Linked DNA regions of Oryzias latipes. The protein of the gene in region 3 interacts with the protein of the main gene of each other region in a biochemical or structural test. Links are inferred from orthologs where the notes say so. Each region holds a gene or a part of one and is shown on either strand. Other genes may lie near its edges. The genes, in order: kcna4, tanc1, disks large homolog 4, potassium voltage-gated channel subfamily A member 1-like, adrb1 and lrp2.

What was found.
Region 1: the proteins of disks large homolog 4 (region 3) and kcna4 form a complex in vitro, tested with the Homo sapiens proteins (8 studies listed by BioGRID and IntAct, with this or other methods). The link is inferred for Oryzias latipes from reciprocal best matches to the Homo sapiens genes DLG4 and KCNA4.
Region 2: the proteins of disks large homolog 4 (region 3) and tanc1 interact in a test that uses a peptide from one of them, tested with the Homo sapiens proteins (2 studies listed by IntAct, with this or other methods). The link is inferred for Oryzias latipes from reciprocal best matches to the Homo sapiens genes DLG4 and TANC1.
Region 4: the proteins of disks large homolog 4 (region 3) and potassium voltage-gated channel subfamily A member 1-like form a complex in vitro, tested with the Homo sapiens proteins (2 studies listed by BioGRID and IntAct, with this or other methods). The link is inferred for Oryzias latipes from reciprocal best matches to the Homo sapiens genes DLG4 and KCNA5.
Region 5: the proteins of disks large homolog 4 (region 3) and adrb1 form a complex in vitro, tested with the Homo sapiens proteins (2 studies listed by BioGRID and IntAct, with this or other methods). The link is inferred for Oryzias latipes from reciprocal best matches to the Homo sapiens genes DLG4 and ADRB1.
Region 6: the proteins of disks large homolog 4 (region 3) and lrp2 form a complex in vitro, tested with the Homo sapiens proteins (2 studies listed by BioGRID and IntAct, with this or other methods). The link is inferred for Oryzias latipes from reciprocal best matches to the Homo sapiens genes DLG4 and LRP2.

The regions. Positions count from the first base shown.
Region 1 is NC_019861.2:9,904,759-9,909,868, reverse strand, and holds the end of kcna4 (potassium voltage-gated channel subfamily A member 4), read right to left. Parts: 5' UTR 4,844-5,110; coding exon 2,783-4,843; 3' UTR 1,133-2,782; downstream 1-1,132. UniProt on the Homo sapiens protein: Voltage-gated potassium channel that mediates transmembrane potassium transport in excitable membranes. Forms tetrameric potassium-selective channels through which potassium ions pass in accordance with their electrochemical gradient.
Region 2 is NC_019879.2:20,906,092-20,911,097, forward strand, and holds part of tanc1 (protein TANC1), read left to right. Parts: intron 1-2,246; coding exon 2,247-2,380; intron 2,381-2,503; coding exon 2,504-2,627; intron 2,628-2,699; coding exon 2,700-2,875; intron 2,876-2,947; coding exon 2,948-3,080; intron 3,081-4,994; coding exon 4,995-5,006. UniProt on the Homo sapiens protein: May be a scaffold component in the postsynaptic density.
Region 3 is NC_019872.2:14,363,825-14,369,318, forward strand, and holds the start of disks large homolog 4, read left to right. Parts: upstream 1-2,070; 5' UTR 2,071-2,260; coding exon 2,261-2,362; intron 2,363-5,494. UniProt on the Homo sapiens protein: Postsynaptic scaffolding protein that plays a critical role in synaptogenesis and synaptic plasticity by providing a platform for the postsynaptic clustering of crucial synaptic proteins.
Region 4 is NC_019881.2:23,511,597-23,517,040, reverse strand, and holds the start of potassium voltage-gated channel subfamily A member 1-like, read right to left. Parts: upstream 3,801-5,444; 5' UTR 3,054-3,800; coding exon 942-3,053; 3' UTR 542-941; intron 1-541. UniProt on the Homo sapiens protein: Voltage-gated potassium channel that mediates transmembrane potassium transport in excitable membranes. Forms tetrameric potassium-selective channels through which potassium ions pass in accordance with their electrochemical gradient.
Region 5 is NC_019877.2:5,428,620-5,434,096, reverse strand, and holds adrb1 (beta-1 adrenergic receptor), read right to left. Parts: upstream 3,792-5,477; 5' UTR 3,126-3,791; coding exon 1,935-3,125; 3' UTR 1,264-1,934; downstream 1-1,263. UniProt on the Homo sapiens protein: Beta-adrenergic receptors mediate the catecholamine-induced activation of adenylate cyclase through the action of G proteins. This receptor binds epinephrine and norepinephrine with approximately equal affinity.
Region 6 is NC_019879.2:21,617,512-21,621,305, forward strand, and holds the end of lrp2 (low-density lipoprotein receptor-related protein 2), read right to left. Parts: intron 2,269-3,794; coding exon 2,152-2,268; intron 2,080-2,151; coding exon 2,008-2,079; intron 1,933-2,007; coding exon 1,762-1,932; 3' UTR 903-1,761; downstream 1-902. Other genes in the region: retinol dehydrogenase 7-like, read left to right, coding at 358-521, 590-828. UniProt on the Homo sapiens protein: Multiligand endocytic receptor. Acts together with CUBN to mediate endocytosis of high-density lipoproteins. Mediates receptor-mediated uptake of polybasic drugs such as aprotinin, aminoglycosides and polymyxin B.

The DNA.
Region 1 (5,110 bases), on a different chromosome or scaffold from region 3:
GTTTTAAATTTACACTGCAAAGACTGAGCCTGCACGTGACAACGGAACGCCATGAGCAGTCAGAATCATCCAGTGCCTGTGGCTGAAGATGATACAGGCTGTGTTCACAGTCCAGTCAGCAGCCACAAGCCTCACAAAGCATCTAACCCGCATACTGATTAAAGAACACTTTCAACTGTATTTCTTCCTATGAGGCACACACACTCTCAGCGCTCACTGTGAGGTTTAAGCGGGAGATCCTGGTTCGTGTGAGGTTCAGGTATGGGCGGGAATGAAAAAATACCTTACACAAACAAAATACACAAACACTCATCGCTATAAATGAGTACATGCTGATGCTTTGACTGACGCAGTGATGGATGCACAGAACCATTTTACTGGAAGGAACGTTCTGGCTGCTGACATTACAGAGCCTTTTGGCATCAAAGAACAGCAAAGTTCTACAGGACCTTTGCTTACCTTTTTCAACTTTTTGACAGTAACAAATGCTTCTCCACTTTTTTGCAACTTGCAGTATAAATCATTGCTGCACTTTTCCAAAATGAGCATCTTGCCTACTTGCATATTTGAAACCAGGTGGTAAATTTCTATTTATTCTTTTGTTTTTGTTGAACTTTTGAGGTAAAGCTCAACACGTCTGGTATTATTTTTGCAGTAGCTTCCCAAAACTAACCTTCCTTCATTTCTTTGAGAGATGCAGTAAAGTTTTAGAGTACGATCGCATGAAATAACCCTCCTTTATCTCATTCAGAATCCATTATGTTGTAAATTTTTCCTTGTTTAAAGCTTCTCTTATTTTACTGTTCAAGGATGAAGAGCGCTAAGAGTTTTGACGTTTTAACTGAGTACAGGATATATATTTGACCACAAAGCCACAAACTTGTCATGCAGCCTTTGCTCATGTGAACTCTTCTTTGGCTGAAGCTCAAAGAGAAACGTTCCTGCTTCAGCAGATGGTTGTAAAAACATCCTACTTGTGCCAAATTCTGCAAACACACACACACATAGTCTCTCCCCTCTTTTCTCACACACAAAGTAAGTTATCTAGTAAAGTTAATAAGAAGCTAAAGCAAGAATTCTGTTGGAAGACAACCCTGATATGATTCTTTTTCCTCTTTTCTCTTTCCTTTTATTTTGGAGGTTTAAAATACTTTCATCAAGCAAAAACAAAATCTCATTAAATTACAGTGTTTGTGTTACTTTAGACAGAAATGCAGCTGGGATTCTGCAAAACCTCTTATCAACAGCCAAGAGTATAAAAACGGTGTCAGTGATTACTCTGAGTGATGTTTTTTTTTTTTTTTTTTTTTTTAAATGAAGATAAAAAATGGGGTTCAGATTGTGTATTAATGAGCTTCAGAATTATGAGGTGTTGCTTTTTTTTTTTACAAAAGTTTAAGTACAATTCCCCTGAAGTTGACCTGATGTCATCATGGATGAAATAATTGCCCCCGTTATTAATGAAAAACGCTGTGATATTGTTGCAAATGAGGTCTGAGGGTAGCTGTAAAGTTGCACAGGAGAAACATTAACTGATGTTGGCAGGAATGTGCGTCATAGTCGTCCAGCGTTCATATCGTGTTTTACACACGGTTACGCACGCGCATCCATGCATCTTTTTCTTCTTTTTCTTTTTTTTTTGGGGGGGGGGGGGGGGTCTAAGAGATTACCAAGGTAGTGGAGATACATCCAAGGGCGAGAAAATAACAAATGCATTGCATGGATTTTCTTCAAGTGGTTCCTGTTTTTAGAGGCTTTGTTTGTGTGTTTTGTGTCAATTAAAAAGGAGTAAAAGTCACATACCTTGGAAGACATCCTTATTCCGCTGGTTTTCTGAGCCATGTACGCTTGTGCATTGACTTGAGAAAAAAAATTGCGCGTAAACTCTCCTTGAAGAATTTTCCACAACAGTCGTTTTTGCTATAATCTTCCATCTTGTAAAGGGATACTGTCACTTTGAGGTGGTTTGAATGAAAGTGGAGGAAAATGTAAAAAAAAAAAAGGTGGGGAGGGGTTTGTCTCAAGGCTCCAAAAATGTCCAGATGACCTGCAACGAGTCATTTCTCCAGCCATAAATGATGATGAATGTGCTTAACTCTTGTCATGGTGATGATTTACTTTAGTTTAGGATAGGAAGGGGATTTTTTTTTTAAACTACGTATCTCAATGTAGCCCTGACTCATTTAAAATAAAGCCTCTTTAGAAAGATATATAACAATTATGGATATATATTCATATTTTAAGTGTTGGAACAGAGATAAAGGTAGTTCTTCTGTCTTATTTTCTTCTTCAATGGAGTACAGTTTGGTAGGGTTTAAACGCTGTTGTTTTCTATGTTACTTTGCTTTTTTAGAAGTTTCTCTAACATTTTTCCGTAAAGTTATTCCTAAAATGTTGCCAGCATGGCCTACAGTTTTCTGTCTCTACAGGAACTTGCCCCAAACCCAGCGCAGATACTAATTTAGTGCAAACAAATGATAACTTTATTGCATAACAGCAAAATGATCGTCCCTACCCCTCGGATGTGACAAAAAAACTCATAAAGTGCGAATGCATAGCCTGTCTCTTCTGTGGAACTGGACTTAGATGTTAGAGTTGGAAGCCCGCAGCTCAGATGATACAATATGGTTCTGAAGTTGGTGTTGAGGAAAAAAGAAAAAGAATGGAGCATTTTCCTGCCACTGTGAAAGGGGTGGATGAGTGCGTAAGAGGGGTTGAATGGAGCGTAAAAGTTGAGGGGTAGTCACCTGATGCTGGGCAAAAAATGTCTTTTCAGAAAAAATCACACGTCTGTCTGAATAGATTTAGAGTTAGTGCTGTTTTTTCTGCTTATGTCTGTGCCGTTTCCTTTACTGGGGCTCTTGTCCAACCCGCATAGCGATTCCGTCAGCCCTTCCTCCATCTCCATGTACTCCGCTTTATCCCCCAGCGAGGAGCCCGAGGGCGAGCCTTTGAATTTCCTTAGAAAGTCGGGGAAATACGGACATCCTGGAGGCATGCTCTCCACCACAGGTGTCTGGTCCTCGTTGTTGTCGGTCTCCCTGTGGTAGAAGTAATTGAAGTTGGACACTATGACAGGCACCGGGAGCGCGATGGTTAACACACCCGCAATCGCGCAGAGGGAGCCCACTATCTTCCCACCTACGGTGATGGGCTTCATGTCTCCGTAGCCCACCGTCGTCATGGTGACCACGGCCCACCAGAACGCGTCGGGGATGCTCGTGAACTGAGAGGTGGGCTCGTCCGCCTCGGCGAAGTACACCGCGCTGGAGAAAAGAATGACACCTATAACTAGGAAGAAGATGAGAAGGGCCAGCTCCCTCATACTGGCGCGCAGGGTGTGACCCAGGATCTGCAGCCCCTTGGAGTGCCTGGACAGTTTGAAGATGCGAAACACCCGGACGAGGCGAATTATTCTCAGAATAGCGAAACTCATCGCCTGCTGGCCGTTGCCCTGGTGCTGCGCCAGATCCGTGCCTAGGGTGATGAAGTAAGGCAAAATGGAGACAATATCTATGGAGTTCATGATGTTTTTAAAGAAAGCGGTCTTGCTGGGACTCGCAAAGAAGCGAACTATAAACTCAAAGGAGAACCAGATGATGCAAACGGTTTCCACGATGAAAAAGGGGTCGTTGAAGGGCGTAAATCCGTGGTCGGGCTCAGAGGAGTTGTCCCGCGGCTGCAGATACTCCTTCTCATCCCTGAACTCTGGCAGCGTCTCCAGGCAGAAAATGACTATGGAGATGACGATGACCAGCACGGACACCACGGCGATCCCCCGGGCAGGGCTGGAGCTCTCCGGGTACTCGAACAGCAGCCAGATCTGACGCTTGAACTCGTCCTCCGGCAGAGGCTTCTCCTCCTCCTTCACGAAGCCCTCATCCTCCCGAAACTTCAGGATCGCCTCCTCTCCGAGTTCGTAGAACTTCACCTCCTCGGAGAAGATGTCAAACGGGACGTTGGCGGGTCTTTTTAGTCTCCCCCCTGACTGGTAATAGTAAAGAATGGCGTCAAAACTCGGCCGGTTCCGGTCGAAGAAGTACTCGTTCCTGAGCGGGTCGAAGTATCGGATGCGCTTGTCGGGATCTCCCAACAGCGTGTCCGGGAACTGAGAGAGAGTCTTAAGCTGAGTTTCAAACTTCAGACCCGACACGTTGATGACGACCCTCTCGCAGCAGCCGCACTCACTGTAGGCGTTCTCGTACCCGGACTGGGGCCGCCTGTCCGTGATCGACACGGTCTCCTCATCCTCGTCCATGTTGCACAGAAAGCTGGACCTCTTGTCTCCCCGGCCCCCCTGCTGCTCCTTTTCCTCCTCCTCTGCTCCCTCAGCCTCCTCCTCCTCCTCCTCCTCCTCCTCTATCATGATGTCCTCCTCCGATCCGAGCAGCGCCAGCTCCGAGTGGCGCAGGTCTCCGCCGAGAGTCCCCCGGTTGCGTCTCCACCGTCCGACGCCGCGCTGCTTTTTCCGCTCTCTGAGAACTCTCTGCTGCTGCTGCTCGGGATCCTGCTGGTGCCAGGAGGAGGAGGAGGGGCGCGAGGCGGCGCCGCTGCTGATGTTGGCGCTCGTTGAGGAGGAGGCGGCGCGAGACTGATGCTGGCGGTTGTTAAGGAGATGAGCGCTCGAGGAGGTGGTGGTGGAGATGGACCCCCCTCCATGGCCGCCTCCTCCTCCTCCCTCCGCAGCAGGGCCCCCGTCGGTCGCCGCCGCAGCAGCCGCCGCTCTGGACTGAGCAGCCTGACGCTCCCTCTCGCGCTCCCTCTCACGCGCCCGTGCTTGGGCATATCCGTACGGCAGGTGACTGTTGCACCCGCCATCCGCGCCCACCATAGCAAACTCCATTTTAAGTCTGTCTGAGCGCTATATAAAACGCCTCAAGGTGATGTGGACGCACAGCAGAGGAGAAAAGTTGGAGCCCGGCGCGCGCAGGGAGGGTGAATAAGGCATGAACCGTTCTGATCAATCAGATGGTCAGGTCAAGAAACATCTGTCTGCTTCAGGTTCAGTGAAGCTACTCACATAATGGGGGTTATGAAGCCCCATCTTCTCATGTTGGTACAAACACTCTAGGATTGCATGACATCATTAGCATCACAAAAAAAAAAATCC
Region 2 (5,006 bases), on a different chromosome or scaffold from region 3:
CAAAAAGAAATCCCTAAATCACGAAAAAAAGAGTTTGACACAACCACGGTTTTTACCCCTGTATCACACTGAAAAGATGCAGCCAGAATGCTCATGGTGACTAATTTACAGTTTAAAGAAAATGAGCGCTCAGAGAGGTATTCATTATCGGTTTCACCTCCTCAGCTGCAGAGTTGATCAAGCAGCCCTGCAGCTGTGACAGATCCAAATCACACCCGGTTTTGTTTGAATGTTCCCATCAAAATCATGTATTCTTATTTAGGAAGGGAGATTTTCCCATCCCATTACAAATTCTTTGCTAGAACATGTATTTGTACCAACAGGCCTGCTGAGTTCTGTGTTTAAATAGAGACAGATTAGAGTGTACCTCTGTGCAATCTCCATTTTTTGTTAAGTCCCTCTTAGGGTGCAAAGCATGTCTGGGCTCTGCAAAGAAATATTATTGAACTGCACAGACTCATCATTCTTGCTGCAGAGCAGAGACCAACTACAGTTCTTTATTATATTCACACGCCATTCCCTCATTTCCTATTGTATCTGGTTTTAATTATAATTTGGGGATTTAAGCAGAAGATGTTTGGGATATTTTTATGTTAAATGAGGTTTTAAGCAGGTTCCGAATTTGATTATTTTAGGGGGTATAATATAATTTTTTTTCTTAAACGGATTTGTATGCTGTGCTGAGACTGTTCGACTTTCTGAGACACAGCAGTTTTTCTCTTGCCAGTTCTTAGTTTCTTTTAATACAAACATGTTAAAGACCCGCCCACTCCAATCATCTTTGGATCCATTTTTAAAACTTTCCCAGTCGTCTTTTAAGTAGGATTATGCTGTTTTTAGCCCAAATAAAAAGATAGTTGTGATCCACCCAGTGTATTTTCTACGTCACCTATAAGCTCTTTTTCAAGCAGCATTGATGATTTGAATAAATAAATGGTCAAAATGCAATTTTAGCTTCATTTTCTTTATACATCTCCTCCAACATCAGACAAATGCCACAAGGACACGTTAAAGACACCAAAAACACAATTTCCATTGGAGTTGGTCTTTAAAAATGCACACAAACACATCTTTACCTATTTAACCTCCACTGTATTTGTAGTAAAAGTTAAATCTAGTTTTTTCTTTTAACTTTCACTTTTTTGTCTTAATATTTTGCTTGTGCATTACCTTCTAGATGAAAATAAATAAGAAAAATTATGTTCTGTCTAATCCTTCAAAGTAATTTTCCCTAAATCCTTTTAAAACCCTCAAAAAGTCAATGTTCTGTGTTTATTCTATTAGAACATTTGTAACGTTCAGTTAAAATCAATATTTTCATAAATCAGTATATATTTAGTCAGAATAAAAACTGCATTAGATAATGGATCTCTTCTGTATTGCATGACAGGACATGGCTGCAGAGGTCATGACCTTTTAAAAACAAACCTTAGGCGAGTTGTTGGGTGACTCTTCTGTGACAATGGTCAAACAGCTGCCATTCCTCAGTCCAGCTGTTCTCCTGCACGCTGGTTCGAAGCTGGCAGCGCTCCCAGTGCGCTTCTTGTTGCTCCCTGGAGCACAGCCTAAGTTTAGCTTCTTGGAGTCATTGTTCTGCTGGAGGGCCGAGTGAGGAAATCCACATTTTTAAGCAGATGGAAGGTGGGGCTGTTTTCGGCTCCGATGACCGTTGGCCCAAACGGGTGATGTCAGTTAGATACAGAGGATCGGCAGCCCCTCAAGTTCTCTGGGATGACTGTGAAAGCAGGGCTTCTCTGATTCTCACGGTGGATCTCGCTGCTCGTGGAACCAGAGCTCCTTTAGGACGCCTGCATCTGCTGTAAGCACCCGGTGTCTCAATAGACTCTTGATTTTGGTGTCAAAATGAATCAAACTGCACTGTGTGTTTGGCAAAGTTTGTTTGCCTTTGCTGGCTGATGATTTTCTGCTCATCCCTGAAATGATCTGTGTGTGTGTGAGGCCTGGAACATGAGGCAGGAATTTAAAGACTTTGACAAGCAGAAACCTAATTACCCGTTTGTGACTCAATTAAACTCTGGGTTTAGCTTGCATTTCTTCGCTTGTTTAGAGTTTGCGGACTAATGAAACTGTCATTATTACAAAGCTGCAAATTTTAGTGTCCTCTCAAGCTCTTGCTGCCTGATCAACATGTCAATGTATCATCAGGAGTATTTCACTTGCCGAAATGAGTGAAGCAGCAATACCTGGATTCACAATGAGAAGTTTGTGCTACTTCCTGTTTGCAGCTCTGACGGCTGCAGCCGGCAGAGGAAAGATGGAGGTCTGCAGCTTCCTCCTGGATCAGGGTGCGATAGTGCAGCAGGTGAATCGACGGGGGGTTTCTTCCCTGTTCTGTGCCGTCAGACAGGGACACTGGCAGGTGAGAGTTCTTTTTGTTAAGTCTCCTGTATCCACGGCAACCACGGCAAAGAAAAGACCAGAGGGAGCCGGCATTGAAACGCTGTGGTTTTTCACCAGAATGCTATGTTGGTTTGTTCCTCAGATCGCCGAGCTCCTGTTGGAGCACGGGGCTGAAATCAACATCAGTGACAAACAGGGCAGGACCCTCCTCATGGTGGCGGCCTGCGAGGGTCACCGAAGCACCGTTGATTTTCTGCTGTCTAAAGGTGAAGCGTTCAAACCCCTCCTCAGTGAGCGCGTGTGAGCGCCAGCGTCCTGACGATTTCTTCCTCTTGAAGGTGCTTCGTTGACCCAGATGGACAAGGAGGGTCTGATGCCTCTCAGCTGGGCGTGTTTGAAAGGACATAAGGATGTTGTGCAGTTCCTGGTGGAGAAAGGTGCGATCATCGACCACACGGATAAAAACGGACGAACTCCGCTGGATTTGGCTGCCTTTTATGGAGACGCAGAGATTGTGAGTAAACCTTTCATCCATCCGAGACGGTGAGAGCGATTTAGCTAAGCGCTCACTGTGTTTGTCATGTAGGTCCAGTATCTGGTGGAACAAGGAGCAGTGATAGAGCATGTGGATCACAGTGGGATGAGGCCTCTGGACCGGGCCATTGGTTGCAGGAATACATCGGTGGTGGTGACTCTGTTGAAGAAAGGGGCCAAGCTAGGTAAAAGTTCATCTTATGTGGCTGCACCTTACCCCTCTCACAGAAAATCAGTCAACTAGGGAAAATGCATTTTCCATCCTATCCAGCCATGCATGTTCAAGTGGCCACTCCCAATAAAAAGTCTTTGTAAATTTGTGTATGCGGGTTTTAGACCTTCACATTCAAAAACATTCTACCGCCATTATCGGGCTCTACGTCCATTAAACACGTGCTGCCTCTCAAGGTTAAACTTTGACCAGTGAGGGACTGGGATGGCGTTCCTTTTAATTCAGGGAAGTGCCAACCATTTGAAAACTGATCATGGAGGAGAAATCAATACTTGCTCTGTGGCTAAGTCTTTCATTCATTGGAATAGAGCTGCAAAAGAAAAAGCCTGGAGCAAGATTTGCAAACTTTGCACCGCTTTGACATCAGTAAACAGTTGCAAAAGAAGAAGCCCCTCCCTGCTTGTCCAGTGTGAACACTATGGTCCAAACATGTCACATGCCTGGTGTGATCGTAGCTTCAGGTTTGTTGATAACCAAACTTTCATATTACTCGTTATTGTTGTTCAAAAGTAACCATCAACTTTACAATCTTGCTGTCTCAGAGTTATAATGTGTAACATGAGTCCTCCTTTTTAATTATAATGTATGCAGAAATAGACCATGAACTAAGAAGTGGCAAATAGACTGCAGAGTCTTTTACACTGCCAGTAAAAAGTTGTTTTGGGGACTCATCAAGAATATTGTTTATGTTGGAAAGTTGAAAGCAGAGAAGGCAAAACTAAAAGACCAACCCAGTCAGTTTAGTCCATAAAAATTAAATTTAGGATAAAATAACAGAACAAATATTGAACGGGAGGGAGGCCTGTGTGCTTTAGGAAAAAAACATTTAAAAAACCTGCCAAATAAAAGCTGCTTAAAAATACTACAACTAGCTTACATTTGCTTAGTTAAAAAAGACACGACTGACAGAAAACAGGACCTATTGGTAATACAAAAACAAAAGGGTTTTGGTCTGTGAGGATTTTTAGCAAAATTACTCCCATATTGATCAAACTGCTTCTTAAATTTAGACATAGTTAGATTGGGGCTGTGAGGGGCTGTCAGCAGCAGGAGAGCAAATAACCATGGATAATAGGAAGTGAGGGCAGCCTTGCTCCGAGCCAAGAGGTGAATATCTAATGAACTCTTGCTGCTCTGCAGAAACTATGTCCTAGAAAACCAGATATCTTTTTTGATTTGGGCTAAAAACGGCATAAAGACCACTTTGAAAATGGATCAAAACAGGATCAGACTAGGACTTTAAGTCTTGAATGCCAGCTTGTTTTCTAGTTTTGCATATAAAATGACAATTTTTTGTAGATTTGCAAACAAAGTAAGAAAAAAAAGTTAAAAACATATTACCTATGCTACTGTTTTAAATGTTTATTTGTGTAAATATCTAAAATCAAGAAAATCCTGGCTAGATTAATGAAATGTGCTGTTCTGTGGGAGTTCAGTTACGTCTTCATCAGCACAGAAACTGCTTTGTCTGTCTGGCTTGTTTATCCCAGCTTGGTCCTAAGAATAATTCCAGACGAACGATATGGAATGTTGTGGAAAAGCGTTCCAGCTCTGCTTCTGTCTGACCCGCAGACCGGCTGGTCCATTCCTCCCTCATGTGCTGCTTGACTAATTTTAAGCATTTAGCAACACTTCCAGCTGATATTCAACCATTTTCCTGTGTCTGCAGCCTCTCTGCTGTTTCAGCTAAAAACTCTTCATTCCTGCAAAGTTTCCTGCATGTAAATAAACTTGAACATCACTTTTTTTTTATTTTTTTTTTATTGCCGCAGTGCAGCTGGTGTAAAATCTCCTGCTCTTGCATGACGTCTCCTCTCTTCACTCTTTCTCTCCTAACTTTGTTCCTAACTGCCCTCAATAAACTAAGGCTACAGAACGT
Region 3 (5,494 bases):
GTGTAACATGGTGCTGCAATGCGAGGCACCTCTTGAACAGGGAGACAACCCCTGATGACAGAAACCGTCCCCTTTGCCCGATCCAGTGACCAGAAATCTGCCGGTTTGTGGACTGTTTGTAGTTATCTGCCACCCCCTGCAGATGTTGTCATGGAAACACTCTTTTGGGGTCGTCTCTATCGCTCAGACAATGCAGCATGAGGATGTTAATGCTATGCTCAGCACAGCACAGTTCAGGTTTCCATGTGACTCCTATGCTTACATAATGTTGGAGTGGGGAAGAAATACAGGAAATTACAACCATAGACTTTACTGTAAATGGGATAATTATAGGAATTATTACTCACATCAGTGAGTAATAATGTCACCAACATGAAAGTCAGCTTGAATTCAGAAGACTTTCAAAACAGCAAAAGATGAGCATATTTCAAATCTCATTTCAATCTCAATTCTGATTCTTAAAATGCAGCAGCTCTCTAGTTCATCCATGTTCATTATTCAGACTAGCTATACCATGTTTATCAATAAATATGTCTGGAAGGCAGCTTTAGTCTATTTTACATGTCCTGATCTCTAGCAATGTTCAGATTTCCCAGGGACATCCCCAAAGCTCTGCAAGGTTGCTAGAAAAAAAAACTATCAGAAGGGCATCAGCATGTTAAAAGGGGTTTCTGTATTCAATTTAATGCTGACATCACTAAAGAACATAGAGCCCTGCGCCGCAGTCGGTCCTGAGATGAATGCACAATATTTAAATCTGGCCTACCTGGTGCTCTCACTCCACCCTGTGGGCCTTCCATGGCAGCACAATTACACAAGAGCAACTAAACAAAGGTGAAAGAGCAAAGGAGGGAAAAATGGAAGATGGCTGCCTTCATCCAATTAACAAGGATAAAGCTTGTTTTCATGGGAAGTCATGGAAAAATGTCACCTGTAAAGAGACTTCTTAATGCAATACCACTGCTGGAGAAATTGTAGCTCCAATTGAGTCTTTAATCATTCATTTTGGGTCTGATGCAACAATTACAGAAAATGTGTCCCTTCCTGACCATCATGACTTCTAAATAACAATGTACACCATATATCTATCCAGTGTAGATGTTAGAGGAAAAAAAGGATTTCTTGGTTTAAAAAGTAACTTCTAAAGGACCTAAATAACCATATTGGTGATGTAAAAAATAGATCAAGCAAAATATATTGTTTGCATGTAATTTTAAAGGTTTTTATCTTTGAAACCGTCTTAGAAAGTTTTTGGATTAAAAAGGGGAAAGAAAGTGTTTGCCTTATTGAAAACAATCTGTCTTTGACAGGTCCAGAGGAGATACAGTGTGTCGTGCGAGATGTTAGAGTGATCTGTTTACACCCAGTGGCAAAAGTAAACCTTAATCAATGATCATGATCTGTCTGACCACATCAAAACAGAGCTAGTCAATCAAAACACATCACTATTGGTCTGGAGTGTGGATGTGCTTTTAGCACTTGGTGGTTCCAAAACATTTTAGATATAACAAACATAATACACATTTTTTATTATAAAATGGAATTTAAGTAGTGTAACTAAAAGAAGGCAAAATGTTCTCACTTTATATTCTAGTACTTTCTCTAAAAGTAAGTGAATTTTTCAGATAGGGGTTACATATTTTATGAAGAATGGGGAATGGGTGCACATATTTAAATATTTAATTTAATTTAAAAAATATCAGACTGATTATACCAAGTTTCTGATTTCCCATCAAAGGTTTCAGCACCACAGACAGCTCCACTTACAATTTTCCTCTCCCTCCGACAGGGGGCGAAGTGGCCACGCTGTTAGTATTGTGAACAGCAAACGCGGCATCAGAGTAAATATTTTCCCGTTGTTGTTGTTTATATTTGTTAATTTGTTTGTTTTATTTTAGACTTATACTGTTGCTATGATTCCTGTTGTGTTTTTGGGCTGCTTTTCTGCTCTCAGTGATTCCAGCTGCGCGTGGAGTCCAAACTTTACGGTCAATCAAGCAGAAAGAGCGGGGCAAAGAGAGGCAGGCAGACCTGAGTGGAGTGTGAGCGGCGGTGGGTGTGGGGGGTGTTCAGTCTTTCAGACATCATGGCGGTAGACATTTGTAAATGATTGATCGGAAGTCAGCTGCACAGAAACCCCGACGCCAGGCTTCAGGCGGCCGGCTTAGTTTGCGGGCCATCGGTGACTCTCCCAGCCGCGCGCTCCTGCGCCTCCACGGGCTTCGGTCTGCGCCGCGCGCCGCTGTGAGGCTCCGGTCTGATGTCTCTGCCTGTCAGGAATTTCAAGTGTCTCTCTCCGGTCATGTGCCAGTGTAAGGTCATCTGCAGCAACCGGACTCTGTCTCTCATGTTCGGCTGTAAGGTAAGAGGAAAGCAGCAGGAGAAGGAGGAGATGGCCTCTGGAGGAATCCGTAGCATAAAGGCTTCAGCTGTGATCGCATCGTCTTTGACTTCTTTGCATTTGCCTCATTTCATTTCTCCAAGTCCTTTCTCTCCTTCCCCATATCTTCAGATTTTGTTCTATGGACCCATTTGCGCTTTTTGTGCTCATATGACCGATTTCAATGTGCACAGCAGTCTAGAGCATCTCTGCAGCACTGTTTTCTTCATTAAATAAGGCATTTGTTTCTTTCAAATATGTCCTCAATAATAATATGGTCAGAATACAACTACATGTTTAATCCAGCTGGCATGGGTTTTTGACATTGGGAAGTGCACTTTACTGCTCAGAGCCACTTAGATATCATTCATCACCATAAGAACCAGTCTTGAAGAGGTATAAAGATTCATTTTATTCGATTCATATCATAATTTGTGGTTGACGATACATTCATTGTTCATTTCAAATGATCCGATTCAATTGTTCCAGGATATCTTTTGCCAAAAATTCAACCAGTGTGACTCAGAGATAAATACCTGGACAGGTGAAGTTTTCCGGATTCCTTGTATTTCTTGCAGGATTATCAAGTGTAAATTAAATATGTGTACAAACAAACAAGAAAACAAGAATCAAAGGCAAATCCATTCACGTTTAAATTTCATAACGTTTAGCCTACTGTTGTATTTCCACATCAAAATAATCCAAACAGAACATTATAAGAACATTCTACCAAACAGTATGGTCACATATCTTTGCTAAATTCGAAGGGTTTCCACACATTGGACTGGAATGATGGTTGATCATTTTTTGCTGACATATGTGTGTTGTGTGATGGCACTTTTAGGTTACAGTATATAAACCTACCATACCTCAATCTAAATGGTGTTTTCCAATATTGATTATAATTAATTTATTTCATTTTAAAATGATTTTATAATGGTATATGTCAATTTGATTAACTTGCGTCAGACAGATCGATCTGGTTGGATTGTAGGAATATAAAGAAATTCATCAATTGATCGTTACACCCCTACCATATTGACAATATTGAACATGAACTGAGCCTCCGCTTGATGTTTTTTTTTTTTTTTTTTTGGTGGAAACAGAAACAGAGTTAAGCTTTTGCTGTTTTGCTTATCAGTGACAAACAGGCCGGATGTGTTTGTGCTGTTTGGTTTTGGAATGTTGTAAAGAGACTGTGTGATCCCGTGTTCTTTCAATCTGTTTGTCCATCACATCCCAGATTTTTCTCTCCATCCAAAATTCCTGTGGCAAGCAGCCACAGGATACTTATCTCTGACCTGGAATTCTCCATGAAGAGTTTCAGACATTAAACTTCTGGGACTGGATAATTCTTATATATGCAAAAGATGCTGCTGGAAAAGTGGGTTGTTCTGTGTGTGTGTTATGTGGCGGGGGGTCCCATTACTCTATGTGGAGAACAAGCACAAGCAATCCCATGTGTCCCCATCCAGGCCTTCTCCTTCCTCTGTATTTCCATGGGAGGAATTGTGGAAAATATATCAGTTTCCCTGTGTGGATTCAAGTCTCTCAGCTAAAGGCTCGCTCCGTGAAAAGAGCGGTTTGACAGGGAATTAACATCTCAATGAGAGCAGGCTGGGCATGCTTGCACACAGGTTCAGTGGCCCTGACAGCTTGTGTTTGTGTTAGTCTCCTGGGAGTTTCTTCTAGGTGGGATTTTTCTTCTTCTTCTCCATCTTCAGTTCCAGCTGTATATTACAACATTCTTCAAGCGCTCCTGCTACTATCTGCTGTTATCTGACTAAGCTCCCTAAATTTCTTGTTATAAAAGCTCCAACATGCCTGGTCATTTCCCCAAGGTGATCGTCCAAGGTAGTTTATTTGCATAGGCTTTGTTTCTAAGCACAATTGTGCTCCGTCATTTCAAATTCAGGGTCTTAATTAAAGAATAAGATGTTTGCAAGCACTCATCGGTGCTTTGATGTGCTCTTTATGCTTTATACTCATTGATGGCCTCATGGCGTTTTATCAAAACAGCTTGCCTCGCTGAACTTTGTCTCCCGGCTTGGAGTTTTGCTCTGCACTCATGCTGAAGGCTCTGCAATACAGTCCTAATGAAAACAGAATATTCACTTATAGTGATTGATCTACAAGCGATGGATCCTTGGGCCTTCATCTCAATATCAAGATCAATAATCACCTCATCCTCGCCATCGATTGTGGGACGTCTTCCTGGAAAAAGTACGGTTAGGCATTACAAAGCAGCCAATCAGATGTTGGTGAGCAACTAAAAAACAGTGGAATTTAATATCCAAAAAGGAAGGAAGGCATTTTTTTGCTTCGCAGAAGCACCTCATATGTTCTGCTTTCCTCAGTGCCGGATTTGCATTTCGCTTCCAAGATGCGCCCGTTTTATCTAAAGCTTTGCACATATTAATTTATAGCTCTGACATTAAGCTTTGAGCATCATCAAAGTGAGGTGGTCAGGATTTATTTGTGCTCTACTGAGGTCCAAGGTGGATCTGCTCGGGATCAGCACCACCATGTCAACTCCTTCTATTTTTATAAATAATTTTATATATAGCACTTGCAGGTTTTAGTAGCTACATCACAAGCCACAAAAACTCAGACTTCTCCTTTATTTAAATGACGCTTTATGTCTGAGCGGATTAAAGAAAGTTGTCATTCAAACTTGACAATTTGATCCTTCCCAAATATCAGAAATAGAACATTACCGCAGGTTAGCATTTGGTTACTAGAATCAAATCTGCAGAATTCTTGACTCCACCTTCATAGGAAACCAAGAGTCACAGCAAGTGAGTAATGGTTTGGCAGTTAATGCTCTTTCAACTGATTGTCCTTTCTTAACAGAACATTGTGTAACTCTGTTTCCTAGGCATCTAGCATAAAAAATATTCATCAACAGACACTCAAAAGTAATTGGTTCTTTCATCAAGCAAACTATAGAGCATCAGTGTCCTCTTTAGGTTTAGTAGAGTTAAATCCACAAAATTGATATTTTTCAATGTTTTGTGTGTCACTTAATTGTACTATGTACCTTCAATATATGCTGTAATCTGTGATCAGTATCTGAAAACCTAGTTTAGTAGGTAGTCGTTATGACTTAGGCTA
Region 4 (5,444 bases), on a different chromosome or scaffold from region 3:
TGCAAAATCAACTCAAATTCTTTAAAGAACATGAAAAAACATGATTTCCTGTCTAGAAAAGTGATTGATGGAAGTAAAGTTTTGAGTCAAAAATGTTTTTCTTTCATTTAAAAATGATGTACATACATGTCCATAAAGGAATAACTGCTCCTTCATTTGCATCAATGAGCAGAAATCAGACAAAATATTGAAAATAGATCGAACTGTAATCATTTTTATTCCTCAAATAAAACATGAATAGCTTTAGTAAAAATTTGTTTTCAACTATTTGAACATTTAAAAAATAAAAAGACTAAAAAGAGAAAAGATCAATTTAACGTTTGGATCATAGAAAACTTTCATAAATAAGTGAAGGAAAAACGTTTTTCCCACCAAGAATGTGACTGAAATGTGTCTTTTTAAAATGATCGTTTTTCTGTTTCAGGAGGTTGTGACGTAGATCAGGTCGGACTTGTTCCGGACGAGTCCGACTTGAACCGAGTCTGAAGCTGAGAACGCAGCTCTCAGCTGCCATAAACATGCGCGCACGCTTGACACTGACCTGATGTGTGCGCGCCTCCTCCGTGCACGTGCTCCCCGCTCCTGTCGTACTTCCACTCAGTTTGTCAGAAAAGTTCGATTTGAAAGTTTCAAACAGGAAAAGGAAAATCCGTGAAAAAAGATCCTCTGTTTTCGTCTGAAGTCTGTGCGCGTGAGCGTGAGACCCACTCGAGGTTCATGTTCAGATTCCGTTAATCCTCTGCGTGTCCAGAAATGATCCCATATCCTGACGGCTGCGCGCGCGCCTCACTCCCGTTTCCCACTAGCTCACGCGCAAGTTTTTTCCTTAATCGAGCACGCGCGGACAGTTGAGGTTGAGGGTTGAGACCTTTGAGCCTGTGCAGCCCGGGGGAGGGGGGTGAGGCTGGGGGGCGGTTCTGCGGGCTCGGGCGGGTCCGGGTCTACAGGTCTGTCTCGCGCGTGTCCAGGCAGAAGGCGTACAGGGACTTCTTGAAGTCCACGCTGCTGTTCGCCTTCATGTTCTTCTCCCCCCCGTCGCCCCCCTCGTTCTTCTCCGCGTCCTGGGACTTGGCGGAGGCCCGGCTGCCCCGGCGCCGCGGCTCGGGGCTGGCGCGGCCGCTTGCGGGCTCGTCCTTCAGGGAGGACTGGTCCTGGTCGGTCTCGCGGTGGTAGAAGTAGTTGAAGTTGGACACGATGACCGGAACCGGCAGCGCGATGGTCAGAACCCCCGCGATGGCGCACAGCGAGCCCACGATCTTCCCCCCGACCGTCACCGGCCGCATGTCCCCGTAGCCCACCGTCGTCATGGTAACCACGGCCCACCAGAAGGCGTCGGGGATGCTGGAGAAGTGGGACTCGGGCTCGTCCGCCTCGGCGAAGTACACGGCGCTGGAGAAGAGGATGACTCCGATGAAGAGGAAGAAGATGAGCAGCCCCAGTTCGCGCATGCTGGCTTTCAGAGTCTGGCCCAGGATCTGCAGCCCCTTGGAGTGGCGGGACAGCTTGAAGATCCGGAAGACCCGGACCAGGCGGATGACCCTCAGGATGGCCAGAGACATGGCCTGCTGGCCGTTCTGGTGCTCCTGGCCCTGCTGCTCCGCCAGCTCCGTGCCCACCGTGATGAAGTAAGGCATGATGGACATGATGTCGATGATGTTCATGATGGTCTTGGAGAACTCCGACTTGCTGGGACACGCGAAGAAGCGCACGAACAGCTCGAAGGTGAACCAGATGACGCAGGTGGTCTCGACGATGAAGAACGGGTCCGAGAAGGTGAGGGAGGGCCGCGGCGCCGTGCCGTTGTCCGGCCGGACGCTCACGGCCAGCTCGCGCTCGTCCCGGAACTCCGGCAGCGTCTCCAGGCAGAAGGTGATGATGGAAATGGTGATGACGATCACGGACACGATGGCGATGCCCCGCGCCGGACTCGAACTCTCCGGGTACTCGAAGATGAGCCAGACCTGCTTCTGGAACTCGTTCTGGGGCAGCGGCTTCTCCTCCTCCTTGATGAAGCCCTCGTCCTCGCGGAACCGCTCCATGGCCTCTTCTCCCAGCTGGTAGAACCGGATCTCGTCGGCGAACACGTCGATGGACACGTTGACGGGTCTGCGGATCTTCCCCCCGGACTGATAAAAGTACAGAATCCCGTCGAAACTGGGCCGGTTCCGGTCGAAGAAGTACTCGTTCCGGAGCGGGTCGAAGTACTTGATCCTCTTGGCCGGGTCTCCCAGCAGCGTTTCCGGGAACTGGTTCAGAGTGCCCAGCTGGGTTTCGTACCTCAGCCCGGCGATGTTGATGAGCACCCGCTCGTTGCTCTCCGCGTCCACGTCCATGTCCAGCAGGTCCTCGTCGAACAGGTGGGGGCTGTGGTCCGCGCGTAAAAGCGCATCCATGGCGTTCTCGCTGCAGCTCAGCGTGGTGTTCATGTCGTTGATCTTCCAGGGGCTCAGCTGCTGCCGGGGGCTCCCGCGGGTGTTCAGCTCCTTCCCGCGCTCCTCTCCCAGCGCCGTTTGGACGAAGCCCGGTTGAGGGACCTCCAGCGCGTGCCGGCAGTTCTCCTCGGCATTCCCGCCGCCGCCTTTGGCGCCGCCGTTTTCAAAGCTCACCAAGGCGATCTCCATGCCGCTGCCATCCACGGTCACTGAAGCAGAAGCTGAGGGGGCGCGTGGAGCCCGAACATCCCGCAGGTTTGAGTCCGGATACAGGGGGGGGGGGGGGGGGGGGGGCTGTGCGCGCGGAGCTGAGCTCTGGATCACGGCTGCTCCGCGCGCGGGGGCATGCGTGGAACGCCGCCGCTCCGGAGCGCCGCAGCTGGGAGAGATGTCAACATCCAGACCGCGGGAAGAGACGCAGACCCGGATTAGAGAGCAGCCGCGATGATCACTCCTGACGTCAGGAGTGAGGCTCGCGCGCTCAGCCGCCGCGGAAAACCGAAACACGTCTGAGAGGAGAGAGAGATGCGCTCCCTCCCTCTCTCCAGCAGCGGAGACGCGCTCCGTTTGTGGCACAAAGCGCGCGCACGGCGGTTGCATTTCTGTGCTGTCAGTCAGCATTCAGAGACACCCCCCCCCTCCAAAAACACAGGGACGTGAACTCTTCTAAGGAACATTTGTGCAAATATCTCCATGCGGAACCAATATGTTCTCTGGGTTCTCCAGGGAACCCTTCACACCCACCGGTCTCAGAGGTCGAGTCCTCTGATCTGTTTTCAGAGCGTTCCCAGTTCCCTTTTCATCCTCTGACGTTTTAGTTCTGTTTTCTAGGACATAGTTTCTGCAGAGCGGCAGGAGTCTCTGATTTGTGGGCGGGGATTATGTGGGAGATTGATGAAGACTCTGGACTCCAGCTCTTCTTCACGCTTTGAATGTCCTTTTCAAAGAATGCCCCCCCCCCCCCTCTCTCCTTGTCTCTCCCAAAGCCGTCCTCCCACGTGACCAGCTCCTCGCCTTCTCTGCCTTTGTGTCCGAGTCCTCTCCTGTGGGGGGGGGGGGGGCGGCCCCCGGGCGGCACTCTGTCCTTTGAAGGAGCCTTTTCTCCAGGATCTTCTTTGTTCCTTTCAGCCGCGCTGGTCAAAGACCCTGAAGGAAACACGACTCTCCTCGTGCTTCTGTGACGTCATCGAGCCATCACACACCGCTGGAAACAAACTGTCAGCTTTTGGTGATGAAAAAAACAAACAAACAATCAAGTTGAGGTTTCAGATGATGAACGCTGAAAGTTTCCAGTCGTCACTGATGCTCCTCAGCTTGGAGCTGGCGGCGTTTCCACCTCCAAGCTCATGACGTCACATTCCTCCAGAATTCCTGTGGTTTTTGTGGACCAAACGAGCAGAGACTCGTCCCATGACAATGCTCCAGAAACTCCAAACGTTTGCAGTTCTGCTCGGCCTACGCCGTTCTGGACTAAGTGACGTCATCCATGAAGCTCCAACCAGCTCCAACCAGAGGGGGTCGATTCAGTCACCATTTCTGCACGACACGGACGTGATTCAGACAAAAATGGCAACTGAATTGACTTTCTTGATCCAAATGGGTCAGAGTCATTGTTTCTATGACAACCACTCTCACCAATCAGGAGGGAGCTTCTTAGAAGGCCACACCCCCACCGCTTGAAAGCGGCTACAAACTCTGAGTAAATCAGTAAAAGCGGATTTTCTGTGGCGACCCCTGAAGGGGGACAGCGGCGATACGATACGTATCCAGATATTTTATTGGAAAACTTTTTTTTTTAGGAGTATGACTTAAAAAACTGTACCTGGATATTAATGTGTCTTTCATCGTAATAATACGATCTAATGCAGTCTATTTAATGATTACAATGTTTAGCACTGCAACTGTATCACATACAGTGGTGGACAAAATAGTTGGTACCCCTCAGTTAAAGAAAGGAAGTCCACAATGTTCACTGAAATGACTTGAAAGGTTCAAAGGGAACAATAAATTAATATGTATTGAAAATTGAAAAATCAGAATCAACCATTACTTTTGAGTTTTTGATGAACAGAATTATTTAAAAAAAACAAACTAATGAAATAGGGCTGGACAAAAATGATGGTAACCATAACTTCATATTTTGTTGCACAACCTTTTGAGACAATCACTGCAACTAAACGGTTTCTGTATTTGTCAATGAGCCTTCTGCACCTGTCCACAGGTATTCTGGCCCCCTCCTCATGAGCAAACTGCTCCAGTTGTCTCAGGTTTGACGGTTCTCCAAATAGCATGTTTCAGCTCCTTCCACTGATGTTCAATGGGATTCAGATCTGGGCTCATAGAATCCACTTCAGAATAGTCCAACGCTTTTCTCTGAGCCATTCTTGGGGGTTTCTGGCTGTGTGTTTTGGATGGTTGTCCTGTTGGAAGACCCATGACCTGCGACTGAGACCAAGCTTTCTGACACTAGGCAGCACATTTCTACCCAGAATGCCTTGATAATCTGGAGATCTCATTTGACCTTCACAACTTCAAGACATCCTGTGGCAGATGCAGCAAAGCAGCCCCAAAACAGAACTGAGCCTCCTCCATGTTTCACAGTAGGGACAGTGTTCTTTTGGTTGGATGCTTCATTTTTGAGTCAACCAACATAGAGCTGATGTTTCTTACCAAAAAGCTCCAGTTTGGTCTCATCTGTCCAAAGGACATTTTCCCAGAAGCTTTGTGGCTTGTCTACATGCATTTTTGCAAATTCTAGTCTGGCTTTTTGATGGTTTGCTTTCAACAGTGGTGTCCTCCTTGGTCGTCTCCCACAAAGTCCACTCAAACAACCACGAATGGTGCGATCTGACACTGATGTACCTTGATCTAGGAGTTCACCTTTAATGTCTTTGGAGGTTGTTCTGGGCTCTTTGGAGACAGTTCCAACTATCCGTCTCCTCAATTTGTCATCAATGTTCCTCTTCCATCGCCAAGGGAGGTTGGCTACTGTCCCGTGGGTCTTAAACTTCT
Region 5 (5,477 bases), on a different chromosome or scaffold from region 3:
CACAACTGGACCAAAGGGACTGCTGCCCTTTAAGAAGGTTTGAGCAGGAATGCAGTTGAGAGGGAACACACGTCCCCTTAAAACACGCCAGTTCACCCACCTGGAACTGCAGCATTGTTACCAAATGACTTCTTTGTTTGCAGGAGCGCAAATTAGTCCATTAAAATTCCTGGCTTTTGAGTCTGTAATGCTGTGGAAAATCCTCCAAACGATGTAAAAAATGCTCAAGTTAACTGTGTGAGGTTGAAATGTAATGCTGCGTTTGATGGAGACTTGAGCAAACAAGCAGAGAATACTAAACCTTTCTTTTTCATTTCATGCAAAGATTTTAACTCATTATCTTTCAGTTCCGCCTAAAACCTTGCTGATAGTGATGCATTTTCCCCCACTTTTTGCACGTAGTGTGCAGAATATCCCAGAATTTACAGTCTGAACAAATTTCACAAGTATGCACAAAAGCATAGAACAAAATCAGCAAAATTAACATTAAATATCCTCTTGCAGAAAATGAACATGCCCCCCCCAAAGCCTTGTTAGTAATTAGGCTATTTAAAAAACTACATGATTAAATTACAATTTAAATTTTAAAATTCTCCTTAACTAAATAAAAAAAATCTTTATATAATAATTGATTTTTACAGAGTTGTTTTTTGTTTAAAGTGGCTCAAACTTGAAAACTTTAGAATTTTCTTTTAAAAATCGACAATTCTGAAGCAGAAACAACAAGAAAAAAGCAAGGTAGAGCTAAGAAATAATCAAAATCTTTTAAATCCAAAGTGTAAAATATGTAAATCAGCTGTTTGGATAGGATCAGGACTGAGTACATCAGGAGTCCTGGAGATAAAGTTAGACTGAGATGATTTGCATGTCCAGAGGAGACAGAAAGAGTCTAGAGCTGCCAGGCAAGAGGTCTAGAAGAAGACCAAGGAGGAGGTTTATGGATGCAGTGAACAAAGACGTAAAGGTAGCTGGTATTAAAGGTGAGGGTGCAGAAGACAGGGTTAGATGGAGAAAGCTGATTGGCTGTGGGAATCCCTGTAGGGAAAAGCCGAAAGGAAAAGAAGAAAAAGCTGTTTGCTAATTGATTGACCCTGATCCAGCAGTCCTAATCCACGCATTGAAAGCATCACCTGATGCCATATACATTTCAAATAAAATACCTCTTCTATTCTTACTTTGTAGCTGATGAAAAAGGAAAATATTCAAAAATATGTGGAGAAGTTTAGTGTCATTGCTCCCTGGAAGGAAATAAAAGCTCCAACATTTAAGAATGAAACCATCTTTTATTTTCACAGAAGCACCACCTCATAACAGCATTTAAAATAAGAGAGACAGACAGTCAGAGAGGCCCAGTTTCCTCCCTTTAGTGCTTAACACTTCATTATATACAATCACCTGTCCTTCATTTCCCAGCTGAAAAAGACAGAGTAAATGCAGAGCTATTTTACATCATGTTTAATATAAACAACAACATGTCATACAAATTGCACTTGTCTTTGCTGTGAGGTAAAACACATTGTAAGAGGAATTGAACACTTGGACAAAAGGTTTTTGCTCATGAAAAGTGCGCATCAGCCGCCATTTACAGATGAACTGTTGTACTTCGTTAAGGTGGAGCAATATTTTTTTTTCTCCCCTTCTCCAGAGAGGAGAGAAGAAAGTTATCCCACGGATTTATGATGAAACATTTTCTGCTTAGGTGTTCGTTCTTCCTCCATGAAAGGAAGATTTGCGTTTTAATTAGTCAAAGTGCAGATTTATATAAAATAAATCGTTATCCGTCGGCATTGTGAATTGATTCAGATGGGAAATTGCAATAAAAAAATTCTAGCTAATTTGGAGGATGACTTTTACGCACAGCTTTTGAGAAAGAAGGATCATCAAGTTATTTCTGTTTTGTTTTTGAGTTTCCCATAAGAGTGCATTAATCCACCTCACAGCTGGGATTCAGATCGCGGCAGCTTCGTCCCCACCAGGATGCTGTCGCTGCTGTCCAACACGGCGCAGTCGGACCACATCTCCAGCGTGCCAGGCTCCAGCGCTGACACGAACCCGCCGGAGCAGCGCGTCAGGTCGCAGGAGCTGATGTGCAGCCTGCGATCGGCTTGCCTCGGGCAGCACAGCAGCCTCTTAAAAGCCTTCCTGAAGTCCGGACTCCGGCAGTAAATAATTGGGTTAAAGGCAGAGTTCACGTAACCCAGCCAGTTCAGGAACACGAAGACGTTCTTGTCCACAAGCTCTGCGCAAAATACGCGCACAACGTTGACTATGAAGAAGGGCAGCCAGCACAGAGTGAACGTCCCCATGATGATTCCCAGAGTTTTCAGCGCCTTTTGCTCCCTGAGCGCCAAGATCTTTGAAGGTCTCTTCTTGCACTTGGAGGTCAGCCCTGTCAGGGTGTTGTGAAACCTGCCCTCACACTTGTCGATCTTTTTGAGCTGCTTTTTCGCTTCTCTGTACACGCGTGCGTAAACAAAAATCATCACCACGAGAGGAATGTAGAAGGAGATAACGGAGGAGGAGATGGCATATGCCCTGTTGGTGACAAAGTCGCAGCATTGGGGGTTTTCGTAGCAGTCCGTGTCCATGCTGTCGCGGGACCAGTGCATCAGGATGGGGAGGAAGGAGACCAGCGCAGAGATGGCCCACACCACACACACCACCGCTTTGGCCCGACTTTTGGTTAACAAGCTTTGGTAGCGGAAAGGTGAAGTGATGGCCACGTACCTGTCTATGGCGATTACGCACAGGGTCTCTATGCTGGCGGTGACGCAGAGGACATCCACAGAGGTCCAGATCTCACAGAAAAAAGAGCCGTAAAGCCACAAGCCGCGCACCTCGAGCACAGCGCCAAACGGCACAACAAGTAAGCCCATGATGAGATCTGCACTGGCCAGCGATACGATGAACACATTGGTGAGGGTCTGCAGCCTCTGCGTCCTGGCTATGGCCAAGATCACCAGGATATTCCCAAAAACAATGGACAGCACAATCAAAGCCATCACCAGACTCATGCCTGCTGTCCACTGCTCGGACGCGGCTGGAACGGTGCCCTGCCCGTTGGACGCCTCGGTTCCAGTGCCGTTGTGGGGGGTCACTGGAGAGGACGCGCCGCCGTCCCCCATGGCGCGTTGCTGCGCTGCGTTTGACAGCAGGGTGAGTTCATTCAGGCAGCGCGCAGCAGCCGTTTCCTTCTGCTGCGCTCGACAGAGACGCAGCTCCAATCCCAGCGCGCGCAAACTCCATCTGGAGCTGCTTTCTTCTTCTGCGCTTGATGCCCCCCCAGCGGGGACTGAAACACGGGTGACATCATCAATCAGTGCGACCAATCAGGCAGTCCAGTGGAACAAAGGTCCCAGTGGATCAGAGGAGGCAACATCAACTTCGGCCTCTTTTTTGTATCATATTTCTGAAAATAAAACACCCTAAAACGCACCACTTTATGTTTGTTACTTACTAACACAAACTGTCCCTGTTTCCTGAAAAAAAAAATTCCAGCACTGTGGGAACACCAGGCCAAAAGTGAAAATCCAGAGGGATTTTCCCGCTTTCATCACCCTCCATGGCAAACCAGATTTGTTGTTCCACATTTATATTTTTACCTCCAGAAATGCTTCCCTTGAGATCGACTCCCACCTTATCAGAAGCCATAAAGCTACGCTGGGTTTGACTGGCAGTCAGAATTCCCAGATTCCTTGTCGACAACCTCTCTTCTCCTTGTCCACGGGCTGAGTGGTTCAAATGAACATGAAGAGCTCCAGATGGGAACTGACTGAACGGCAAGCGTTTAAAGTTTAAACACCAAAGAAGAAGCTGGATTTATTTCTGGACCACTCCTCATGACCTCTGTGACCCCTCGTCTGAAGCTGAAACATGACATCAACCATGAAGCAGTCTTAACATCCCTCAAGTGACCCTAAGATAGACAGACTGGTTGTTTTTGAGAAAATAAACCTGGGAAAGCTTATTTTTATCATATTTAAAGTGACCTCATTGCTGGAAAAGTACTTTCAATCTAAATCCACATTCAGGAGTCATGGGTTAGACCCCTTAAGCTCAGGGGCCAATTAGAGGCTTTCCTTGTTCTTTTGGATTAGTTTCACCTCAAGTGAATGGTTGGTTGGGAATCATAAACTCTCAAATTCTTCATTCAGCTCCAATAATAAACACCAAAATATATTTCTGAGGACCATTTTAGAATTTTCCTATTTTGGTCCAAAGAGAAGCGGCAAACGCAGGACTCTGTTCACAGTCCTCTGTCCACAGTCCTCTGTCCTCAGTCCTCTTAAGACAAATAGTCTTACGTTGAAAGCTTGTTGGTTAATTTAGTCAGGTTTGACAGATGACATTCATAAACAGAGCTATATCATTTTATTTAAGACTAAAAAACCCCAGTTCACATGTGGAATAATTGCAAGAAAGACATTAAAAATTGAAAATATAAAAAAGTTTTTAAAACAATTGTAAAAGGGTGATATACGCAATAGAAATAAAGGAATAAATAAGATTCATTGATATTTACTTTCTTCCTGAAAACCTTCTCTGTTTGTTTTCAGTCTCAACCTTTTGTAATATGCAAAAAATACAGTTTGTATAAATATAAACTTTAGAGACTGAATTCAGATCAAATTATTATTTATTTTAATTATTAATTATTTATTAAAATGTAATAAATAAAAAGAATCAAAAAAAACTTTTAGAGTCTTTGGTATGACTCGGCCTGGATTTGAACTCACAACCTTCCAACTGAAAAAAAAGGGGACTTTTAATGTTCATCCAAATCCCTTTTTACAAACTTTAAATATTGTCAATCATTGTTAAATTTCTGTTTATGCTGTTTAGGTTTTGTTTTATCAGCTGAAAATAAATACATAAAAAACATGATAGAAATGGTTCTCCAGCTATTTATGGTCAAAAACAGTTGACGTTAACAACAATACTTTTTATTATATTTATTGCACGCTGATTGTAAATGAACAACCACCATTTCGATCTTTTATGACAAAATCTTTAAAACTATCCGAACCAGAAGCCTATTATTTCTTCAAGTTATTAACCCTTTTTCCGCCACTGTTGAGGAAAACCTGAGGCTCCAGAGTCTCAGGTTGCAGACCCTGTCTATGGGGGAAACCTTTTTGTTTTTGTAACTGTACTCATTCAATTGTAAGAGCTAATTAAAAAATAAAAATTTAAAATTCATAGAAACAGCCTTAAAATTTAGTGTATGGGGGTTAGATTTTGATTCCCACATGTTTTCTTGTAAAGAAGAAATATGAACTGTGCAAAGATCTAAGCCAGAACTTTTTCTGCCAATTCCTTAGAAAATTTCTCTAAACCTTCATGCAGACCAGTTGCACAACAAAAGCACTACTCGAGGAATGCTGTAAGGAGGGATTTACAGGCTGCTAGTAAGGCTGAGTGCAAATGAACTCAGTGAGCAAAGAGGTCCATGAAACTGGGTCTGTTATAGCATCTCC
Region 6 (3,794 bases), on a different chromosome or scaffold from region 3:
CTTCCTTATGTCCAACCTGCTGGAGCTAATCCCATCTCCTTCAGGGTGTGTGGGTTTGGGTATATCTTGGACAGGGCACCATTCTTTCACAGGGCCTCTCAATAAAATATTTTCTGGCATTTTGCACATTCCCACATAGGATTAAATCCACGGTGTGGAACTCAAACATATTTTTTATGTTGGTTTGTTTCTTAAAAAAAGGAGGGGAGCTAAGGCAGAAAGATTCAAGATTAGATATTATTAGGTATTTGGTATTATTTGCTAAATTTGATGTTTATGTAGATTCTTTTTCAATTCTTCTGAAGTTGAAATCGAAAAAACCTCTAATACGGCAATTTATCGTCTCTTTTCCTTCAGGAAAGACATGAGTCATTTTGGTGTCAAAGTGAGCATCATCGAGCCGGGTTTCTTCAAGACAGCTGTGACCAGCGTTGATCTAATCAATGCTGACATGAGGAGACTGTGGACCCGCCTACCTCAACATGTTAAAAACGCATATGGAAACACATATTTGAAAGACTGTAGGTACAGTTGATTTACAGCATAATTGTATGAAGCAGCTCCTAATATGTGTTTTTTCTTTTCTCAGATACGAAAGTGCAGGACTTCTCCATGAGGATGTTGTGCAGCGCAGACCTCTCAAAGGTGACCAGGTGCATGGAGCACGCCTTGACCGCGCGGTTCCCACGCACACGTTACGGAGCGGGATGGGATGCTAAGCTTTTCTGGATCCCACTGTCATACCTGCCTTCATTTGTGGCAGACTTTGTGGTGAAAACGCTCCTGCCATGCCCAGAAGAAGCAAAAAACAACAGAAAAGCTTCTTAGTTTATCAGTCGAAGTTGCTCGTGTTTCATGAAACAAATTGGGTGCAATTCCAAGGACAGAAAAAGTGTCAAAACTGCATTATAAAATAGGAAATTTATTCGTTTGTGTCTCAGCAGCAGAAAATTTCTCTCGTTATCCCACATTTTTATCTTCATGATACAAAAAAAAAACTGTGAAGAAAACAGAAACTTCTCAATTTCAACGTTAACATTTGCATCCTCAAGTCATATGAAACCCTTCAAGACAACACAGCAGTGTACAAACTCTTTTGGCCACTCCGTTAAAAACAATCAGGTTGATTTGAGTTCACCCCACTGTGATTAAGTACAATAAGTTATTCTTTGCACACAAATTCAAGCTCACTTTTTCTTTTAAAATCCTAATCTGCAATTGAAACCTAACTGACACGAATGAGTTGTTGCCCAATTTTTCTTTGTGCTTTTAATTCATCAGCCCTGAAAATTGAAAACAAGCAAGACGTAAATACATCTTCAGTTTTGTTTGGTAAAAATAATCCAACATTCATTATTTCTCTGATAACATCTGATCATATAAGTACTGTACATTCGGAATGTAACCCACATTTTCATAGTTGTTATGCTTCGCTTATATTGATCTATCTGCTACCAATTTTTGAGATATTTCGGACATAATCTCACTGTTCAAATTTACAAATATACAACATATTAACAGTTCTATCAGCAGCTTCAGTGCAAAGACATACATATTGTACATCAAAATAAAGAAAAACACGAACACAAGAATTGGCAGAAGAAATGTCAGAAGGCATCTTCTCGAAAGACTTTTGTTTTTGTTCTGTAGAGATGAATCTTTGACCCTAAAACGATTTGAGTTTTGTACACAGGCTGCATAAAAAAATAAATTCTGTGCAAAGTGTGTTTTTTTTCTTTGAGTCCCGTCTCGAGACGGGGGTTATACGTCACTGTCTTCCTTAATGAGGTTTGCTGTGTCTTTGAAACTGTCCTCGGTGGGCGTGAAGGTCCCAGGACGATCTTTCTTCTGAGGTTTGGCAGGTGGCGTGAAAGGAGAGGGCTCCGGGTTGGAGGAGTCCTCTTTGTTTTCAACAGGCTTCTCATCTTTCATCTACCAAACAAAAGTTACACCTTGGTATTTTTGACTTTGAGAAACACATGGAAAGGATTGTGCCTCCACACCTACCTCTGAATAAGAAGGGTTCTCAAAGGTGGTGCTTGGCTTCAATTTTCGTTTGAAAAAACTCCACTTTGACTCCTACAAGCAAGCACAGAGATCGCATGTCATAAATGATCCATAAAAATGCACATGTGGTGTGTGGACACTCACCTGAACAGGTTTGCTGCTGACAGAAGATGTGCTGATAATGCTTGCAGTCTGATCTCCACGGTACGCCGGGTTTACAAAGTTGTTCTCCAGCTGTTCTCCACTCACGTTAACGGTCACCTGTTAGAAAAGCCAGAGCACCTCGTCTCAACCGACAGTTAAAACTGTTTAATTAAAGTCTGGTCAAATACATTATTTCATGTTGCCATTATTTACTTAATCATATTATCAGTGAAAACTGTCAGCACTCCCATAATCCTAAACTGTTCTGAAGAAGCAAGAAAAACGTGTTTATTTTGTGGTGAAGTCAGTGTGACATCTTAACATCTTCCAAACATTTGAAAGTTTTAGCAAATATTTAACATTTGATATCTTAATGATGAGAAAATGATGCAGATGATGGAACAATGTAAACTGACATAACACTTTATTTAGTCTTTAAATACATTAGGACATTCTAAACCAAACAAAACATATCGTTTCTTGTTAATGATGGAAAATCTGCGATCTGCAGGTTTATCATGGAAAAGCCGGTATCCATATCTTTGTCTAAGGCAAGTGCCATGTACAGCTAAATGTAGTTGTCTAATTTGCTTTAGTATTTATTGCAAAGCCTGTGTGTTTTACACCAAAGCAGATTGTTTACAGCCTTTTAAAATAAAGGACAATAATTTTCATCATATTGAATATACATAGATAGGGAGATAGATATGGACATCTCTTTATTTTAGCTTTCAAATAACTAATTAAATCAACTTATTTATTTATTTATTGAGATATTAAGTATTTGGTAGCTTTTATGGTTTATCATTTGTAGATCTTTTTATCTATGCAACATGTCCTTCCTTTTTATGTCTATTTTATATAAAATAAAATCAAGTTTTATTTATATAGCACTCTTCATATAGAACATAACACAAAGTGATAGATAGATAGATAGATAGATAGATAGATAGATAGATAGATAGATAGATAGATAGATAGATAGATAGATAGATAGATAGATAGATAGATAGATAGATAGATAGATAGATAGATAGATAGATAGATAGATAGATAGATAGATAGATAGATAGATAGATAGATAGATAGATAGATAGATAGATAGATAGATAGATAGATAGATAGATAGATAGATAGATAAAGGAAAGACAGAAAGAAAGAAAATAATTTGTGTTTTTTTATCTGAAAGTCAGCTTCCTGCTTGAGCACAAAAAAGTAAGGAGAGCTTGTACAGAACTTTTTCTGATAAGTTAGTGGGAAGCAATGTAAAGTCAGCTTTGTTGTCCAACCCTTAAACAGCACAAGTTAACTATTTAACTCTGCAGCAGTCAGCACATAAATAACCTGAATTACCCATTAGCTGGTAGAACTGAGGAGGAAGGAAACGTCTCGTAGATTAACGTTTTACTTTTAAAAATTCAGTTCAGTAATAGAACATAATGCTGGGACAACATGACCTACATGACTGAAAATCTACATGTTCATAGTTATTTTCTACTTTATTTATTTGATAAAAATAGTTTAACAGATTTTACAGTAAAGAAAACAATTATATATAAGTATTTCACCAGCAGTTATCTTTTTATTACTTTTTACGTCCATATTATGGACCAATGTCCAAATCTTTTTTGCAGTTGGAATGC